Linked DNA regions of Schizosaccharomyces pombe. The gene in region 1 interacts genetically with each later gene. Each region holds a gene or a part of one and is shown in the gene's direction. Other genes may lie near its edges.

Region 1 (4,382 bases):
TTTCCACGCATAGCTTATTTCCTTCATTTTTAGTACATGCTTTTTGTAATTCAATGGGGCTGCCAACTTTGTACGGAAAAATTGGAAACAGAAATCAGACTAGGATTTATTACACGTTACTATTGTTAGGGGTTTTGATATTTTATATGACTTGGGGTATTACTGATTTTAATAATCATCAAGACTTTGAACCAAGACTGGTGCCATTAAACTAAATAATAAAAGACTCCGGCTTCATCTGTGACTTAGCAAGGCGACATACTAAACCACTTAACTGCAACAAGGTTTGCACACCCTCTAAAATAATCATATGAGTTTGGCCAATTTCCTTAAGCATTTCTAATCTTGAAAATTCCGGAATACTGTCCATTGTCTTTACTACTCTAAACATATTAGTGACAATGTCCACAGCACTGAACCCCAAATCCCATATTCCCTGAAGTTTTTCAAGGGCGACGTCGATGTTTCCAGATTGACAAGCAGTTAGCATGGCATGTATCGCTACAGGTGAAGGCTGATCGGCGACCCGGAAAACGTTTTCACCGTTCACAAGACCGAATCCAGCAACAGTGCTCTGTAGATTGTTCACTGCTTGACGCATATCACCTTCTGCTGTCATGATAAGGGCAGCCAAACCATCATCTGTATAATTGACTTTTTCCGCTTTACATATATTCAATAAACGCTGTAAAACCTGTTGATCCGTAAGACGTGAGTATCGGAGAATTGCACACCGCGATTGAATAGGTTCAATAATTTTGTTGGATTGATTGCAAGCAAGTGCAAAACGCGTTGTATTACTGTAGATTTCCATAGTTCTACGCAAAGCTTGTTGAGCTCCAGCCGTCATACTATCTGCTTCGTCTAAAATAATGATCTTATGCCTTCCAGGTGGCAGTATGACTTTTTTCTGTGCGAATGCTTTAATTCTATTTCTCACTACATCGATACCTCGTTCATCTGAAGCATTTAATTCTAATACACCTTCCTTATATGCTGGGCCAAGTAATGCATGTGCTAAACAAAGAATAGACGTCGTTTTTCCGATACCAGGCATTCCCTATAAATATAAGTCAGCATGTAGTATAAATAATAATTAAAAAAAAATAGGTTACCGAAATAACTAGATGAGGCATATTCCCTTCCTTGGCAATAACTTTAAGTCGGTCAATCGTCTCCTCGTTACCAACAATGTCATCCAGGACGATTGGACGATACTTTTCGACCCTATAAGTTTATAGATCAGCATACTATATTATATTGAACCTTTAAATTATGAAAAGATGCCTGAGTCACCAAGAAGCAATCGTAATAGCTGAACACTAAAACCTTCATAAAGGACGTTTTAATTGCTCATAATATATACATACCATGGCAGCTCATAAGCTACAGAGTTATTTTTCTCTCCAAATACTGATGATGATACTGCATTACTCATATTCAGTGTTATTGAACTAGTAACATCAGTACTGAGTTCCAGTGAACTAGTAAATTTGTTGAGTATTTTAACCACTGCATGGTAGTCACTTCACCCATCGCGAATAGAAAAGAGCATTAATATGTAAATCTGAAAATTTTTTTTATTCTTAAATGCACTATCAAAGCTAGCTTTAAAATATATGTTTGTACAATCGACACAAATGATGAAAACAAGCACATCAATATATTTATATTATTACAAAAACGATCAATAATCTGTAAAATTCTAATATTTTTCTCTTTTAAGAGTAGTAATAAGCAATAGATAACTCTTTAAATTCACGCCTTCTGTTTCTTAATAAATTAAGCTTCTTATTAAGCGAATTTATACAGCAATTAGTACATCGTTAGGTATATGCAACGCCATAGAAAAGGGTACTTAAAGTCAATCCGCTCACGTGAAATGAACATTGCACATTGCAATATCAACATCTTTTATCATTACTGGTTTCAATAGGTTTAAAGGATAAAATTATATATTTATAATATGGTAATTGCTTTATCTGATTCTTTTATCGAAAATCCAAGATCGTTTCTTCAAAGATTTCAGGATGCATTGTTTGCAGGATCTAAGCCCGATTTACAAGGCACTTTAGGCATCGATGAAGAAGTTTCTAATATTTTCGCTACAGAGGAAAGAATAAGAAAGGTTTGTTAAGTGGTTTTTTCTCTTATTTGACACTGAATATTTAGATTCCAAACTATCTTGACTGCAAATGGTCTGAGTTAAAGACTGGTCAACTACTTCGTCTTCAAGGTATGGTGCAAGACACCAATTTTGGGCATGAATTTTTTGCTGGAGCTGTAGAGGTAAATGAAAACATTTGGAGAGGCTGTAGATACATACTTGATTTCAGCGAAGATGAAATGCATTTAGATGAATCTAAAATTGTCCTAGATGAAAGATATTCACTGTTTCTGACAAATGTTCCTGGAGAAAGAACTCTTCCTGTTATAGAAGCTTTGGGAAACTGGGGAAGCGAGAGTCTGAAAGAACGGTCATTGAAGTACTCAAACCGCTTACAAGCAAGTAATGATACCGGCGTTTGTGTTAAATGCTATGGCGGAATGGAAACTAAAGTTCAAGTTTGTCAAGCAATCGATGTTATTGGAATTTATGAAGAACCAAGTGAATACTCGGATGGTTTACCCATTTTACACATGTTATGTTTTAAGGATTATACGCAATCAGCTACTCAAGCCCCTTCTCCTCAGCAAGCTGAGATCATTCGACCAAAAATATTAAAATATTTTGAAAAAGTCCTTGGTGAAAATATAGCTGCGGAAAGTCTTATGCTTGCTCTTCTTTCCAACGTTGTTCATAAAACCACTGGTTTGGTTATAGGTGGTTTTACTTTAAATTTAACAAATTGCACCTCTGAATTAGTGTCCCAGTTAGTTTCTGTGTTACGGCCTTTGATAAAAAGAATGGTGATTCAAAAAGTTAATGTCGCCGAGCTTAACAGGAAGCCGCTTTATCCCTTGAGTGATGGAGAGACATTAGATACTAGCCATTTGCAAGTGGCTCCTGGCACCCTTATAGTTCTTGATGAAACTGAACTATCGAGTGGAACCTTAAACGATGTCGGATGCCGTAACGTTCAGTTTTTGTCTTCCCTAATATCTCAACAGGATTTAACATTTTTTTATCCTTTCAGTTCTTTTACCGTTCACAGTAATGTTCGAATAATTATATTAAGCCATGGAAGATCTATTTTGCCAGCTGATGTCGGTTGTAGATGTAGAGGCGATTCTCCGGACACTATTGAATTTCCAACTGATTCGGATGAGCTGCAAGAGTTTTGTAATTTTTTTCACATGTGGAACATGCGTGCTAATATTCCCGAAAACATGCTGGATTATATTCAATCTACATATGTGAGCTCCCGTCAATATAATAAAGAAATCAATGAAAAAACACTTTCATTACAGATCAATTGCTCTCGTCTCTACGCGAAGAGTTTCGGTCGTCAACTGGTTTCAAGAATTGATTTTGAGGCTGCCCGTAGTCTAATCAATCATTGGACTGTCAACTGATTGATCGCATATTTTCTTATAATCAACATCATTTAACCAATGTTAGAAATTACTTTTCATGTCTTTTTGGAATTTCCAAGTTAATTTCCTCATTCATTCGATCAAATTCATCAAAAGTTCATTTATATTGTTATTTAATTATTACTACAAGTAAAGCTCACTTGCCCGTTTTTTTTTTGTTTTCTTACATTATCACATACCGCACTGCCATATACTTCCTTATCTTCAAATATTAAATTCAAGTTTTGCCAACCAGGCGTTTGCAGAGATTCAAGGAATAAATATAATTCATTGTATTTTTAGCTAAAATTTGATTTCTTTGTCTTTCAAATACCTATACGGAAGCAGTCATTGCATATAACATATGTGTAAATCGACGGTTTAGGCAAGCAGTCTAAAAACTCAATGAACCAGGCGAACTTTTTACAGGAGCTTCCAGTAAGCCCAATAATAAGATATTTACAAGTTAACTAACAAAATGAATGTTTAGAATGTACTAAAGCGACTGGAAACTGGTCTTATTATACCTCAACTGAAAGATATACTTCGTGTTTTTGGACTTCGTCTTTCAGGAACAAAAGCTGAGCTCATTACCAGAATTAAACAACTAATAGAGAGGATAGCTATAGAAAACAACACAACCTCTTGGGAAGCATTGAAAAAGGCAATCGATGGCGATGTTACAAGTGCCGTATGTATCTTAAAGTACAACACATATCAGATATATAGTGCTGCTGCTCCAATTGCTCCACCTAGTTCAGCTTCTGGAAATAGATCATACAGCCGTCCTTTCGCCCCAGTTGTTCATTCGCGAATACGATTTCGAAAAAGTCCCTTTTATGACATTTTGGAACAATTCAATGCAC
Region 2 (5,528 bases), on another chromosome or scaffold:
AGTCCGAGTCGTATTCACAGGGTCAGCAATTAATTGATTGATTAAGGAAGCTGTTTCCTTGTCTTTTTCATCACTATACTCCTGCATCCAGTAAAAATGAATCTGCGAAGAGGATTTAAATTTTAGTGCATATACGCGTCCCGTGGTACATTCATCAATTTTGATAAACTCTGCTTCTTCTGGAAATATGATGTAGTCCTTCATTATATGTTAGTAAACATAAACCAAATTAAAAAAAAAAAAACGCAAAAGTAAATTTATATATATAAATAGGTATACTTTGCAATTGATTTAAATTGTCTTCATACATCTTCTACTTCTCTAGAAACCCTGGCCCTTTCTTTCCAATAGAAATGCAATAATTCATCAGAAGCCATTTGCATATAGATAACTCTAAACAAATGTCAGTATTAAAAATCAGATCTTTTAACTTTATAAACAGAAAACAATTCCACAAAACCCAACAGTGTGGATTTTCACGCATCCTTCCAACGTAAACATGCAAAGAAGCTTCATAAACAATTCTTTGGGTAGAATTTCGTTTTCCCAGTAGAAAGGACTACTATCTATATTATTATTATAGTACATACCCTTTTCGGTGATCAGCTTGCAGAATATTCGTTCCTGGCTTTCTTTGAAGTTTTCCAGCTTTTACGGAGACTAATCCATACTTTCCTCTCTCGCTAGTCTCGTTTCTTACTCTTCCAAAAACTGATTCCATTTGTAATTTATTTTTTGTCAACTCAAAAGCTCACGATTATTGACCTTGTGAATTGTTGTGGTATAGTTGAGTATGCAGTGTACACAGTGCAAGTGAGCAAAGTAATCCACACAAACGTATCATGTCTATAGACATGATTTCTCAAAATCATTTAATTTTCTAATTGTCGCCACTATAATCATCTTTTATCATGTAATAGACAATCTTTTTAGGTGGTTAACTGCTCTAATATTTGAAGCTGATTTATCAAGCCGCATTTGATGGTTTCGCCTAAAAAGATGTTTTAATAGCAAATTAATACTACACTTTAAAAGGAAAAGGAACGTTCCACTATGCAGTGGAATTCATCTCTTAAAGGGCCTTGAAAAGACATAAGCCAATTTTTGTATCATCGTTAATGGCATCAATAGTAAAACAGAATAAACCAGTTTTCACCAATTATACATAGAAGAAAATCAAGATACAATAAATGTCTATAATCCTTTCAGGTTTTGAAGAGCAAAACATAATCGAGAAAAAGTATGCGTCCTACACAATGGTATTTCACTAGAAATAATAGAAAAATACATTCATACACTATTTGAAATTCACACCATATAACTCATAATATACAGACTTAAGTTTTTTTTATTAGAGACAGTCCAGTAGTCGAATGGTCAAATGAACTCTACAAATGGTTAATATAATAACAACTCAGGTATTCAATATGAGAGAAAATTCAAAATAAACCTTATTTTAAGAAATATTATTAGTAAAATTACTAAATCACCATCTGCCCTCTTCAATTAGCGTCAAATCACAGTTAATAGATTCGACCTTCAAATACAACTGGTAGTTCCAAATTGCAAAAACGATCATCTCAAAATGTTAAACTAGCATAACGTTTAATTAAAGCAATGTAATCCTTTATTTCAACATTCTTTTCATATTTCTCTTCATTCGTCCAAAAAAATAGAATATCACTTAAAAGGAAGTAAGTCAATAACAAATTCATAATACCTTATTTATGATAACAAATTTGCTTTAATTGATCCTAATATCTAGTGTCGCAAAGTTTTTTAGTTTACATTTTCATAGTCAATTACTGGTAGCTTGATGATCAATGGAGAATATGACAAATTGTTAAAAAATTATACAAATTTCCAATTATTTAAATCTTTGCTATGCTATTTATCTCTTCATTGTTGTATGTTTATGAGTAGTTACTCTACTCCCTTACACTGTCTTTCTACACCCACCACGAGTCATGTCCTCTAGTCAGCAAAGTGGCAGAGCCAATGAGTTGAGGACTCCTGGAAGAGCTAACAGCTCTTCAAGAGAAGCAGTGGATTCTTCTCCGTTATTTTTTCCTGCTTCGTCTCCTGGTTCTACACGCCTTACAACACCGAGGACTACAGCGCGTACACCTCTCGCTTCCTCTCCTTTACTGTTTGAATCTAGTTCACCAGGTCCAAACATTCCTCAGAGTTCACGTTCTCATCTTTTATCTCAGCGTAATGACTTGTTCCTTGACAGTAGTTCGCAGAGAACACCGCGCTCGACAAGACGTGGAGACATCCATTCTAGCGTGCAAATGTCTACCCCATCTCGTCGAAGAGAAGTTGACCCTCAACGTCCCGGGGTAAGCACTCCTAGTAGCTTGTTGTTTTCTGGGTCAGATGCACTCACGTTTAGTCAGGCGCACCCAAGCAGTGAAGTAGCTGATGACACTGTCCGTGTCATTTGGGGAACAAATGTATCTATTCAAGAAAGTATCGCTTCCTTTCGTGGATTTCTACGTGGGTTTAAGAAAAAGTATCGACCTGAATACAGAAATGAACTTATGCCACCTCCTGATGCCGAACAACTAGTGTATATTGAAGCGCTACGAAACATGCGTATTATGGGTTTGGAAATATTAAATCTTGATGTTCAGGATTTAAAGCATTATCCCCCAACCAAGAAGCTATATCACCAGCTTTACTCATACCCTCAAGAAATCATTCCTATCATGGATCAAACCATTAAAGACGTTATGCTAGACTTGTTAGGAACTAATCCTCCCGAAGATGTTCTTAATGACATTGAGCTTAAAATTTACAAAATTCGTCCTTTTAATCTTGAAAAATGCATTAATATGCGTGATCTTAATCCTGGTGACATTGACAAATTGATCTCTATTAAAGGTCTGGTACTTAGGTGTACACCTGTAATACCCGACATGAAGCAAGCATTTTTTCGATGTTCAGTTTGTGGTCATTGTGTTACCGTGGAAATCGATAGAGGGCGAATTGCTGAGCCCATAAAATGCCCTAGAGAAGTCTGTGGTGCTACAAATGCAATGCAGCTAATTCATAATCGTTCTGAATTCGCCGATAAGCAAGTTATTAAACTCCAAGAGACACCTGACGTGGTACCGGATGGCCAAACCCCACACTCTGTAAGTCTGTGCGTATATGATGAACTGGTTGACTCTGCTAGAGCAGGAGATCGTATAGAAGTCACTGGGATTTTTCGCTGTGTACCAGTTCGTTTGAACCCTCGCATGCGTACTGTAAAATCATTATTTAAAACTTATGTCGACGTTGTTCACATAAAAAAGCAGGACAAACGTCGTTTGGGTACGGATCCTTCTACGTTGGAAAGCGATATTGCTGAAGATGCTGCTTTACAAATTGATGAAGTACGGAAAATATCAGACGAAGAAGTGGAAAAAATTCAACAAGTTTCAAAGCGGGACGATATATACGATATTCTTTCCCGGTCTCTGGCACCTAGCATTTACGAAATGGATGATGTTAAAAAGGGGCTTTTGCTACAGCTATTTGGTGGAACGAACAAGTCTTTTCATAAAGGCGCAAGTCCGAGATATCGTGGAGACATAAATATCTTGATGTGTGGTGATCCATCTACGTCTAAGTCTCAAATTTTGAAGTATGTCCATAAGATAGCACCCAGAGGTGTTTACACTAGTGGCAAGGGTTCATCTGCTGTTGGTTTAACTGCCTATATTACTCGTGACCAAGACACGAAGCAACTAGTCTTGGAAAGTGGTGCTTTGGTACTGTCAGATGGGGGCATTTGCTGCATTGATGAGTTTGACAAAATGTCCGATGCTACACGTTCTATTCTTCATGAAGTTATGGAGCAGCAAACCGTTACAGTTGCCAAGGCTGGCATTATTACTACTTTGAACGCTAGGACTTCTATTTTAGCTAGTGCAAATCCAATTGGAAGCAAATACAATCCAGACTTGCCTGTCACCAAAAATATTGATCTTCCGCCTACTCTCTTATCTAGATTTGATTTGGTGTATTTAATATTAGACCGCGTGGATGAAACGCTGGATAGGAAGCTCGCAAATCATATTGTTTCTATGTACATGGAAGATACTCCTGAACATGCTACAGATATGGAGGTCTTTAGTGTGGAATTTTTGACAAGCTATATCACATATGCTAGAAATAATATTAATCCTGTCATTAGTGAAGAGGCAGCAAAGGAACTAGTGAATGCTTATGTTGGTATGCGAAAGCTTGGGGAGGATGTGCGAGCATCTGAGAAAAGAATTACTGCTACAACAAGACAACTGGAATCAATGATTCGTCTATCTGAGGCCCATGCGAAAATGCATCTTCGCAACGTTGTTGAGGTAGGAGATGTTCTTGAAGCTGCTCGCTTGATTAAGACCGCTATTAAGGATTATGCAACTGATCCTGCAACAGGAAAGATTTCTCTTGACCTAATTTATGTTAATGAAAGAGAGACTTTGGTACCTGAAGATATGGTCAAAGAACTGGCGAATTTAATTTCAAATTTAACTGTGGGTGGAAAAACTATGTTGGTCAGTCAATTGTTAACTCGGTTTCGTGAGCAGAGTTCTACTCGCTTAGATGCTTCTGATTTCGAAGCTTGTCTGGGTGCTTTGGAAAGGCGAGGACGTATTAAGGTTATTACCAGTGCTGGACATCGCATTGTACGTTCAATTGCACAGACTGATTAATTTTTTAGCGAATAAGCTGGTATTATTCATGAGCCATAAACCATAGGTCGTTGTTGAAAATCAAAGACTACAGAGCATAATACGAATGTCTTTCTTGTTATATATACACACGTTCTTTTTGTTATAAAAATATTTTACATATTTATCGAGGGATCCTTAACATTCATTTTTCTTTTTTTTTTCGGCTTTTGAGTATGAACTGAACAATGAGTAAACATTATGAATATAAATTCGTTAATACCAAAGTTGAAATAATAATAATAATAATAATTAACATAAACTTTCAAAAAACTAACAGATATCTAAACAATCGTAACCAATAATTCGCCATGATTCGTAGAGGCAGTGTGTGCCTAATTTTAAGTATTTTCAACAGTAGTCAGATGTCATTAAAAGAAAAATGGATAGCAATTTAACCATCAATGTCTGCAGAAAATTCTCTGCAATAGGAATTATCTGTAATATCAAATTTATCGTCACTTGTATCCTTAACATCACTCAAGCTTGGTTTTCTAGAAAAGGGCTTTTGACGCTCACGCACATTCCAATTGAATTTATCTTCTAATACCTTGGTCCATTGGTATCCTGGATTTTGAATGGTTGTGAAAGGGTAATGAGACGTAACAATTGATAAATAGTCGCCTCTATGCATCTCCACAGATTCATGACGGTCAACGGAAAAGAATGCACTACTTCGAGAATCCAAAGGGATCTCAACGTTCAAAACATTGTAATCTGGTAAAATAATAGGACGGAAAGAAAGCGTATGAGGACAAACTGGTGTTACTAAAATCGCATTTAGTGCAGGATGTACCAGAGAACCAC
Region 3 (5,051 bases), on another chromosome or scaffold:
TGATAAAATCGTTATGAACAAGACGTAAAAAACTCCGTTTCATATGAATATGAAAAGGCGTCATCTATTTCCTTTAAATGCATTTTCTACACGTCCGAGATGAAATTTAAGTCAAATTGACAATACAATTTCCATGTTGAAAAAAATAACAATAGGCAATCCTAAAGAACAACGACAAAACGTAAAAGAAGGATAATTTTGTTCGCTCAAACTGACCGAGAAAAAGTTAAAGTGTTGATGAAGAAAGTATGAAGAAAACTATATACAAAATAAAAGTCGAAAAAAAAAAGAGATGCAACATGTTGTGAGTAAATGATCACATAAGAAGTACAGACATTACAGTAAAGTTAAACGAATCCTTAATTTAAAAAGACAAGCATCCCTCAAACTCAACTCAGACGTAACGTTCACTTGAACGATCACTCAACCCCAAAGAGGTAAGACTACGTTCGACGAAGATACCTAACTTTTTATAAGCTTGTCGAAGTACATTCGACGTCCGACGAGATGATCCAGAAGAATAAGCATCAGGGGACGAGGAAGACGGGGTTGTAATGGTAGGAAGTGTATTGTCAGCAGCGGTAAAGGAAACAAAAATACCAATAGGAACAGACCATACGCATACCCCCATAAATGAAGCAACTTGTGAAAAGGAAGCACGAGAGGTCAAAAGGCGTTGACCAACAAAATCGTAAGTGAGTCCACGAGGTTTAATAGGGAATTCATGCACCTGGAAAAAGCGGACCCATAAGATATGATTCGCGACAATAAGGAAACATGCTAGCAAAAATCTCATTCTCTTAAATGAGAAGAAAGGAAAGGTATCAAAGTTGATTTTATAAATGTAATGACTGAAAATGGAGAATGCCGAGAGCCAAAAAGGAAAACCATCAAATATAACCAAAAACACCATTACCGCCATAATAAAATAAACCAACCGACATAAAAACGCCTTTGCGAGCCTAGAGTGCTCTTCTACAAACTCTGAAATGTAATACAAAGCTGATGCGATACTCACGGTCATGCCTATGAATCCCAAAACGATACCCAAGTACGACAGAGCATTAAGGACAATCATTTTGAAAAACGCTTTTAATTATGTCGTATCTAATAATCTTAACAAATGTGATTTTCTTTGGACTTCTTCAATATAGATAAATATGTTCGGATTTGTCGAATAAATACGGTTTTAATGCACAGCACCGCTTACAAAGCTTCTGCCTAAAGGTTTTAGCAATTTCTTAAGTTGCAAGGCACAATAAAAATATCAATTTCTATATTTTGTAGTATTGGTTGGTATGGGAAGACAGCAAAACCATGGCTGGTACTCCTGAATATCACTACGACCTTAAACAGAAAGCAAACTGTATGCTAATAATTGTAAATTTGAAAGTTGAATTTTCTTATTCCAATTAAAATGATTAATATGTATACTAAGTCTGCTATTTAGAGACGAGCATAACGGTGGTTTTTAGTTTTGGTGAGTGGCAATCGTGTACCTACATTACGGTGCCTAAATGTTTAGTTATATAGATTATAAATATATTTATATAGTAAAACCTTTCAATTAATTTTTATTCTTTAACGTAGTCAGATGATAGCACGTGTACTGACTTAAGGTTTCAAAAAAACTATTAATACCCATACATATTGGTATCAAAATTAACTAAAAAATAATTTTAAATTGTTTAAATGACTTTTTATCCTTGTTAAAAATTGTTTTCGTTGACATATCTAATTTGCTGAGGGGTTAAAAAGGGCAGTCCCATCGTGTATTTGGTAGCATTTAATGGCCAACTTAACCTAACCTCAACCAAACACTTCAACTCAGAAATACAAAAAATATTATGAGCGACAATGTACAGCAACAAGTAGATTCAGTTGGTTCTGTGACTGAAAAATTGCAAAAAACAAACATCAGCAGACCTAGGAAGTATATTCCTCCTTTTGCTAGGGATAAGCCAAGCGCTGGCGCAGCTCCAGCTGTTGGCGACGATGAGTCTGTCTCATCTCGTGGCTCTTCTAGGTCTCAAACTCCTAGTGAGTTTTCCTCTAACTATGGAGGTCGCCGTGAATACAATCGTGGCGGTCATTATGGTGGTGGCGAGGGCCGCCAAAATAATTACCGTGGCGGTCGTGAAGGTGGTTACAGCAACGGCGGTGGTTATCGTAACAACCGTGGATTTGGCCAATGGAGAGATGGTCAACACGTTATCGGAGCCCGTAACACTCTTTTGGAGCGTCAATTATTTGGTGCCGTTGCTGATGGTACCAAAGTTTCAACTGGTATTAACTTCGAAAAGTATGATGACATCCCTGTTGAAGTTTCCGGTGGAGATATCGAGCCTGTTAATGAGTTCACTTCTCCTCCTTTGAACTCTCATCTTCTTCAAAACATTAAACTCTCTGGCTACACTCAGCCCACCCCAGTTCAAAAGAACTCCATTCCTATTGTCACATCCGGACGTGATTTGATGGCCTGTGCCCAAACCGGTTCCGGTAAGACTGCTGGTTTCTTATTCCCTATTCTTTCTCTTGCTTTCGATAAAGGACCTGCCGCTGTTCCTGTTGATCAGGATGCCGGTATGGGTTATCGTCCTCGCAAAGCCTATCCTACCACCCTTATTTTGGCTCCCACTCGTGAATTAGTTTGTCAAATTCATGAGGAATCTCGTAAATTCTGTTACCGTTCTTGGGTGCGTCCCTGTGCTGTTTACGGTGGTGCCGATATTCGTGCTCAAATCCGCCAAATTGACCAAGGTTGCGACTTGCTTTCTGCTACTCCTGGTCGTTTGGTTGATTTAATCGATCGTGGTCGTATTTCTTTGGCCAACATTAAGTTTTTGGTGTTGGATGAAGCTGATCGTATGCTGGATATGGGTTTCGAGCCTCAAATTCGTCACATTGTGGAAGGTGCTGACATGACAAGCGTTGAAGAACGTCAAACTCTCATGTTTTCTGCCACTTTCCCCCGTGATATCCAACTTTTAGCTCGTGACTTTTTAAAGGATTATGTCTTCTTGAGTGTTGGTCGTGTCGGTTCCACTTCGGAGAATATTACTCAAAAGGTCGTACACGTTGAAGATTCTGAAAAGCGTAGTTACTTGCTTGATATTCTTCACACCTTACCTCCTGAGGGTCTTACCTTGATCTTTGTAGAGACTAAACGCATGGCTGACACACTTACCGACTATTTGTTGAATAGCAACTTCCCCGCAACAAGCATTCACGGTGACCGTACCCAACGTGAGCGTGAGCGCGCTTTGGAATTGTTCCGCTCTGGCCGTACTTCCATTATGGTCGCTACTGCCGTCGCCAGTCGTGGTTTAGATATTCCCAATGTCACGCATGTTATTAACTACGATTTACCTACTGACATTGATGACTATGTGCATAGAATTGGTCGTACCGGTCGTGCTGGTAACACTGGTCAAGCTGTTGCGTTTTTCAACCGTAACAACAAGGGTATCGCTAAGGAATTGATTGAGTTGTTGCAAGAGGCCAATCAAGAGTGCCCCAGCTTTTTGATCGCCATGGCTCGTGAAAGCAGCTTTGGTGGTAATGGACGTGGTGGCCGTTACAGTGGTCGTGGTGGTCGTGGAGGCAATGCTTATGGTGCTCGCGACTTCCGTCGCCCTACTAATAGTAGTAGTGGTTATAGCTCTGGCCCTAGCTACTCTGGATACGGTGGCTTTGAAAGCCGTACTCCTCATCATGGTAACACTTACAACAGTGGTAGTGCTCAATCCTGGTGGTAAATTTCCTAAAAAAATATTTTTATTGGGTTACGTGCATCTGTGTTATGCACAGGCTTCTGATGATTTCCTTTAGTCAGAGGCCGAAGTATTGTGTCCATTGTTTTGCTGACATTTGCAAAGCGCGAGGATGTCAGAAAGGGCGAAATATTTGGCTTTAATTAACTGTGATTGAGTGAGTTGCACGAAACGTCTTTTGTTTAGGTCCGGTTTTTTTCATTTTTAAGCTGGGCTTGGACGGATGCTCATTGGGTGTGCTTTTTAATCGTTGCGGTTGTGGAAGCGTTATGTAAAAACGATCCGGCAAAATTTAGTATGCGGTGTTGTGTTTTATTGCATAATAAGATGAGGCGAAAGTTTCAGAAGTCAATGCGTGCATGATTTATTCACGGGACTTTTTAAATAGAATATGCATATTTGAAACATTTGCATTGACGAAATGGATGTACGAATACGACGGGCATACAAAATGACATATATTATACATATTTTATATATATCTATTGATATGTTGAAAATTTCTACAGGCTTTGAGCTCATGATTTTAAAAATCAATGATGGATCTTTTTTTACGAGTCTGTGTTTCTTTTTTTCGAGAGAACTTGGAAATAGGTTAGTGTCTCTCTTTTGTTGGATTGTGGTTCTTGGGTAATATTTCTTTAGGAAAAGGTTTACGATTCTGCAATTTGTAATAATAGGATGCGCGCTAGAGCAAATTAATAAATTTTATTGCAATAATAAACTATACACATGTTATTAGGCAAATTAGTTATTAGTAAAATTAAGGAATGTAATTAGTGATATGTACAGTCAGAAATACTAGAAATATATACGAAAGATTAAGTAACGCAGCTACAATGATCACTGATACAGAAAGTATTTAAGGGTCTAGTTGGACTAGACAATTGTTTATTTATTGTGTCGCAGTAGTCACAATCAAAAGAAATAATTAAATAAAAAATTAGAAATAAATGGTGAACCACTTGGACCTATATGCTTTGACGACATACATATTAATAAGTGAGGACAATGTCAAGGGTAACTTAAGTAAATGTTGAAGAAAAATGCTTGATGATTATGTTTTTACGTTCTCAATTAAATAAGTAACTTTTCAATTAATTGAAAAACGAATATTAATGAGTAACCATGACTAGGATTAAAAGAATAAACAACCATACTTAAACTTAGTATTCAATAGATTGTTGAGATTAAAGAGAACAAAAATTAAGGAAACAGATCACAGCACAATTTCATCAAAAAATTGCAATTTTTCTTCGTTTTTCTTTATGTTTTTAT
Region 4 (6,485 bases), 1.9 Mb from region 1:
TGATGCTATGCTTAATTTAATTTTGTTTTGTTTTTGTTTTTTGCTGAATATATGTGTAATAAAATTAATATTAGCCGTGAGAACAGAGTAATTGGAAAACACAGAATTGAATCCAACAATTGTTACAGGGAATTAAGTAAGAAATGGTCTATATAAATACTTCTACAAATGTTATTACTTCAACATATCACAGAAAAGCAGAAACCGGTATTACAAAAAGTCACCGAAATACATAATTTATATACGGGCTTTGGCAAACAAATGCGATATTTAGGACAGTGCTGGTCGGATGAAAGCGCCTATCAATTCAAATTTTCTTCGTGCTTGATAAGGAAATGTTGCAGATAAGAATAATGAAAAAGAAGAAAAAAAAAGAATAAACAAAAGCAAAATGTTCAACAAATTTGAAAAAAATTTAGTTCAACTGTAAATCAAAAACACGTTAATTTTACATTTAAAAATGTAAAATATAATGCGGCCAGAGAGGTTCGAACTCTCGCGTTTTACAACAGCAGGGATCAAGGCAGAAGCCTCTTAAATCTGCCCCCTTAGACCACTCGGGCATAGCCGCTTAATTGTACAAACTAATTAAATAGAGGTATATATCTATAAAAATAGTTGCGTGTACTGTAAATTGTCTGGGTTTATTAGAGTATATGTACACAACCTGACTAAAATCGTATAAATTAGTTAAAAAAAATGCATTGGATTTTTTATACCTTGAGAGCCATGCCAACTCCAAAGGTCAATATTTGGTTTAATGATTTTTTTTTCCTTCCCTTTTCTTTATTTAACACACTAAATGTCGGGTAACTGCGAGTTAATAACGAACATGATCAGTTTAATTCAATTTTCATTCTTTTCTATTTCCATATAGAATTGTGGCTGTAACCGCGAAGCATTTCATACGGAAAGTCGCCTTTATTTACATAAGCAACATCTTTGTTGTGTGGCTATAGGAGTTAAAGCAAAAAAGGCGAATTACTAAAGCACAATGAAATGGCAAATCTTTAGTAATAAGTATATTATTTCGTGCCGATGTTCCATAAACTTGGTTAAAATAATTTGGAAACATGATTCTAGCTGTAATTCAATTTTTTTAAATTCATAACAATTTTTAATTTACTGAATGATAAACTTTCCTTCTGTTTTGATTTACTCGTTGACTTGTAAATTGATAATTAAACCATAAAATACCTAATAATTCATAATAAAAAAATTTAAAAAAATAAATTGATGTTTTTCAAATGACCTGTCTTTGCTAAATACTTCAAAACAAACAAACAGAAAAATCCACGTACGACACATTTATTTCTGGTTTAAACGCGGACGTTACGATCAAATTCTTACCGCATTTCTCCCATTCACGGAAACGACCGAACGTCTTACCGGAGGAAGTAAATTTTGTTTCAAAACTAATACCATTTTTTTAAAAAATTGCAATCTGCTGATACACTCAGTTTTATCGCCATCATTCTCGTTCCATTTTATGTTTACTTCATTCCCATCAATTTCTGCCTATAATCACGTTGTTAAATTTCCTTAAAATAGATAACGCAAAACGATTGGATACGCTGCATGCTTGCTATTCTTCTTCGTGTTTCTTTGCCAGCCTTGCGGCCACACCTTTTACCTCCAACACAACACTTGTTCTTTTGCATTTCTACCCTGGGACGTTAGGCAGTAGCCTTTAACTGTATACATTCTTTCATTCTCTTGTTTCCATTGAGTACAAGACAAATTTCTATCGCGTGAAGCATCTCTTGGGACGAGGAATTTCGTTATAAACAAGAGAATTTGGAATATTTATTTGGTTTTTATTTATAGTAAGGAGGTAAGCACTTTGAACGCTCGTGTAGATACGTGTTATTTTCCTTGGTCTTCTTTTAGGAAGGATCTTGTTATCTTTCGATTTCCTGTTCTTCGATCTCTTGTTTGAGTTAATTATTGTTTTTTCTCTATTATTTTTGCAAGGGAGGAGTAATTAATCAGCAAGTAGGAGATTAAAAATTTATATTATTTTGTTTCTATTCGATAAAATTAATTTTTCTTCTACTTTTTTTTATTTTTTTTTTCAAATTTCTAACTTGATTGCTGAAGTCCTTTATACATATACAATCGCATAAGGTTGAGGTAATTATCCTTTTCTTTTTACTTAAGACATTTGTTCAATACGTTGCCAACCATCAATTTACATTTTTTGCTTTTTGATTTGTAAATATGGAGGGCATCCTGGCATTCGATCGCGAATTAGACGTTGCCCTTTTGGATCGTGTTGTCCAAACCTTTTACCAAGGTGTCGGTGCAGAGCAACAACAGGCTCAACAAGTCCTGACCCAATTTCAGGCACATCCAGATGCATGGTCGCAGGCTTACTCCATCTTGGAAAAATCAGAATATCCCCAAACTAAATATATCGCTCTTTCCGTCCTTGACAAGCTTATCACCACTCGTTGGAAAATGCTTCCCAAGGAGCAGCGATTGGGAATTCGCAATTATATTGTTGCTGTTATGATAAAGAACTCGTCAGACGAAACTGTCCTGCAACAACAAAAAACTTTTCTTAATAAATTGGACCTCACTCTCGTTCAGATTCTTAAACAAGAATGGCCTCATAATTGGCCCAACTTCATCCCGGAAATTGTCCAAGCCAGTAAAACAAACCTTTCACTTTGTGAAAATAACATGATAGTCCTTCGTCTTCTGAGTGAAGAAATTTTTGATTACTCAGCTGAGCAAATGACTCAGCTCAAAACCAAAAATTTAAAAAACCAAATGTGTGGCGAATTCGCCGAGATTTTTCAACTATGCTCACAAATTCTCGAACGTGCGCAAAAACCTAGCCTAATCAAGGCTACCTTGGGAACACTTCTCCGATTTTTGAATTGGATACCCCTTGGCTATATATTTGAAACAAACATTGTTGAGTTAATTACAAATCGATTCCTAAATGTTCCTGATTTTAGAAACGTTACCATTGAATGTCTTACCGAAATAGCTAGTCTTACTTCTCAACCTCAGTACAACGATAAATTTGTTACAATGTTTAACCTTGTGATGACCTCTGTTAATTCTATGCTTCCTTTACAAACTGATTTTCGTGAGGCTTATGAAGAAAGTAGCACAAACGAGCAAGACTTTATCCAAAATTTGGCTCTCTTCCTTTGCGCTTTCTTTAGCTCTCATCTTCGACCATTAGAAAATCCTGAAAATCAAGAAGTCCTTCTTAATGCTCATTCCTACCTTCTTAATATCTCGCGAATTAACGAGCGAGAAATTTTCAAGATCTGCCTGGAATATTGGTCAAAATTAGTAGCTCAGCTTTATGAAGAAATGCAGCAAATCCCCATGTCTGAAATGAATCCATTACTTAATCTTTCTAGTCCTACATCTCTCATTTCTTCTAATCCTAATATGTTAGCCAATCTTCCTTTAAGGAAACATATCTATAAAGATATACTTTCAACTCTTCGATTGGTTATGATTGAAAACATGGTCAAGCCCGAAGAAGTCCTCATCGTCGAAAATGACGAAGGTGAAATTGTTCGTGAATTTGTTAAAGAGACGGATACAATTACCCTTTATAAATCTATGCGTGAGGTTCTTGTGTACCTCACTCACTTGGACGTGGTTGATACTGAAATCGTTATGACTGAAAAACTTGCACGTATTGTTGTTGGTACAGAATGGTCTTGGCAAAATTTGAATACTCTTTGTTGGGCAATCGGCTCAATATCCGGTGCTATGAATGAAGAAATGGAAAAGCGCTTTCTTGTTAACGTGATTAAAGATTTATTGGGCCTTTGTGAAATGAAACGTGGCAAAGATAATAAGGCTGTTGTTGCCTCTAACATTATGTACGTTGTAGGTCAATATCCTCGCTTTTTAAAAGCTCATTGGAAATTTCTCAAGACCGTCGTCAATAAGCTATTTGAGTTTATGCACGAATATCATGAAGGTGTTCAGGATATGGCTTGTGATACATTCATTAAGATTGCTCAAAAATGTCGTCGCCATTTTGTTGCTCAACAACTGGGAGAAACGGAGCCGTTTATCAACGAAATTATTCGTAACTTGGCCAAGACGACTGAAGATTTAACTCCTCAACAGACTCATACTTTTTATGAGGCGTGCGGTTATATGATTTCTGCTCAACCTCAAAAACATCTTCAAGAACGTCTCATTTTTGACCTTATGGCGTTACCCAATCAGGCCTGGGAAAATATTGTCGCTCAGGCTGCACAAAACGCTCAAGTTTTAGGGGACCCTCAGACCGTTAAAATATTAGCAAATGTTCTAAAGACAAACGTTGCTGCATGTACTTCTATTGGTTCCGGTTTCTATCCTCAAATTGCTAAAAATTATGTAGATATGCTTGGTCTTTACAAGGCTGTTAGCGGTTTAATATCAGAAGTGGTTGCTGCCCAAGGAAATATTGCTACCAAAACTCCCCACGTCAGGGGATTACGAACTATCAAAAAAGAAATTTTGAAATTAGTAGATGCTTATATAAGTCGAGCGGAAGATTTGGAGTTGGTCGGAAATACTCTCATTCCTGCGCTTTTCGAAGCAGTGTTGCTTGATTATTTACAAAATGTTCCTGACGCTCGTGATGCCGAAGTTCTTAATTTGATAACCACCATTGTCAATCAACTTAGCGAACTCCTTACTGATAAGATTCCTCTTGTTCTTGATGCTGTTTTTGGATGCACCCTTGAAATGATTAGTAAAGATTTTTCGGAATACCCCGAACATCGTGCAGCATTTTTTCAACTTTTACGCGCCATTAACTTGAATTGTTTCCCCGCTTTGCTCAACATCCCGGCACCACAATTCAAACTAGTGATCAATAGTATTGTATGGTCCTTTAAGCATGTTAGTCGCGACATTCAAGAAACCGGACTTAACATCTTACTTGAACTTATTAATAACATGGCGAGTATGGGACCTGATGTTTCAAATGCATTTTTCCAAACTTATTATATTAGCTTACTACAAGATATATTGTATGTTTTGACTGACTCTGATCACAAATCTGGCTTTAAGCTTCAAAGCTTAATTTTGGCTCGGCTTTTCTATCTGGTTGAATCAAACCAGATTACTGTACCTCTCTACGATCCTTCTCAATTCCCCCAGGAAATGAACAATCAATTATTTTTAAGACAGTATATCATGAATCTACTAGTCACAGCTTTCCCCCATCTTCAACCTATCCAAATCCAAGAATTTGTACAGACAGTGCTAGCTCTTAATCAGGACAGCATCAAATTTAAACTTGCTTTACGTGACTTTTTAATTCAATTGAAAGAATTCGGCGGGGATAACGCTGAACTTTACTTGGAGGAGAAAGAACAAGAGTTGGCTGCTCAACAAAAAGCCCAACTGGAGAAAGCTATGACTGTTCCTGGTATGATCAAACCTGTCGATATGCCTACTATGGAGGAGGAAGAACTATGATATTCTTCAGCAAAAACGTATTTAAGCTTAGAACTTTAAAATATGAAAGGAATTATATATTTGGTATCTTTTACTATTGACTTAATTGTGGATGTTATTTATCCCTGTTACTTGAGAAGTTTACTTAATTCCTTTTTTTTCTTTTTTTTTTTTTTGAAAAGCAAGAAGGGTTTTTGACATGACATGGCCCGTAATTCAACGTGTTAGATAGCAAAATGATGGCGCCAGTTGTTATTGATTGCAATTCAAACTATATAAAAAAGTAATAAAAAAGCATAAAGTCTTTAGAGATTCAACTTTCCGTGCAGTGTTGTAAATTAGAAAATTAAAGCATTGTAAGGATTTGGGTTGCCTCATTTTTTATACTGTTTATAAATTGAACGAGCAGCTATACTTGAATAACACTATGAAGTCTCGTGTAAGAGATCTCAATGCGACGTTGAAGTCCTTTTTATTGAATGCTGGCGTTATGCAACCTTGCTAAAGGAAACACCAACGTATTTTCACATAACTACGTTTTTGCTTCTAGAAAATGTATTATTACCTTTAATAAATTATGTAGCTACTACTATTCCGTTAGAGAATACGGTAAGAAAGAAAAACGAAAACATTAAACATAAATCAAACTTACAACTACAAATATGACTATTCGTGTAGTAATTTGGAATAAAAAAAATTCCAAATTACAAAACATCACCTAACTAAAACCTTTTTGAGAATTCCGTAATTTACCATGTGAACTTTCGTCTCTTCTGACTTTGTCTAATAAACAGACAATCAGACCCAAAACCTGAATACTAAAATTCAACTTCTTCACGCAAATTAGAGGAGATGTAGTTCAATGCTAAGGTACTCGACATTCCCCAAATACCCACTCGCCATCCACGATACAAACCTTCTATTCCAAATTTACCCGGATCTTCTTCGCTTAAAAGACACCATATGGTACCGACGATACCAGTGTATTTGCCTACGGGAACGATAGTTTGGGGTGGAAGGTTGCATTCATACTGGGCTTGTGCTCTTCG

Evidence for each region.
Region 2: mutations in mcb1 (region 1) and mcm4 impair growth when combined (synthetic growth defect), as found in Schizosaccharomyces pombe (one study listed by BioGRID).
Region 3: of mcb1 (region 1) and sum3, a mutation in one rescues a mutant of the other (synthetic rescue), as found in Schizosaccharomyces pombe (one study listed by BioGRID).
Region 4: of mcb1 (region 1) and crm1, changing one suppresses a phenotype caused by changing the other (phenotypic suppression), as found in Schizosaccharomyces pombe (one study listed by BioGRID).

The regions. Positions count from the first base shown.
Region 1 is NC_003424.3:904,918-909,299, forward strand, and holds mcb1 (mini-chromosome maintenance complex-binding protein mcb1), read left to right. Parts: upstream 1-1,879; 5' UTR 1,880-1,966; coding exon 1,967-2,128; exon of another isoform or gene 2,129-2,172; coding exon 2,173-3,516; 3' UTR 3,517-3,882; downstream 3,883-4,382. Other genes in the region: rce1 (CAAX prenyl protease), read left to right, coding at 1-215; DNA replication factor C complex subunit Rfc4, read right to left, coding at 212-1,060, 1,116-1,227, 1,371-1,438; SUMO E3 ligase Pli1, read left to right, coding at 3,922-3,954, 4,007-4,382.
Region 2 is NC_003421.2:898,435-903,962, forward strand, and holds mcm4 (MCM complex subunit Mcm4/Cdc21), read left to right. Parts: upstream 1-1,953; 5' UTR 1,954-1,967; coding exon 1,968-4,703; 3' UTR 4,704-4,991; downstream 4,992-5,528. Other genes in the region: 19S proteasome regulatory subunit rpn1302, read right to left, coding at 1-198, 309-393, 591-721; SPOM_SPCC24B10.02C (NAD/NADH kinase), read right to left, coding at 5,116-5,528. UniProt on the Schizosaccharomyces pombe protein: Acts as a component of the mcm2-7 complex (mcm complex) which is the putative replicative helicase essential for 'once per cell cycle' DNA replication initiation and elongation in eukaryotic cells.
Region 3 is NC_003421.2:973,468-978,518, reverse strand, and holds sum3 (translation initiation RNA helicase Sum3), read left to right. Parts: upstream 1-1,805; 5' UTR 1,806-1,847; coding exon 1,848-3,758; 3' UTR 3,759-4,520; downstream 4,521-5,051. Other genes in the region: protein SVP26, read right to left, coding at 395-1,078. UniProt on the Schizosaccharomyces pombe protein: ATP-binding RNA helicase involved in translation initiation. Remodels RNA in response to ADP and ATP concentrations by facilitating disruption, but also formation of RNA duplexes. Inactivation of ded1 blocks mitotic cell cycle progression at G1 and G2/M.
Region 4 is NC_003424.3:2,802,288-2,808,772, forward strand, and holds crm1 (karyopherin/importin beta family nuclear export signal receptor Crm1), read left to right. Parts: upstream 1-1,636; 5' UTR 1,637-1,834; intron 1,835-2,100; 5' UTR 2,101-2,220; coding exon 2,221-5,457; 3' UTR 5,458-5,966; downstream 5,967-6,485. Other genes in the region: transport protein Ugo1, read right to left, coding at 6,255-6,485.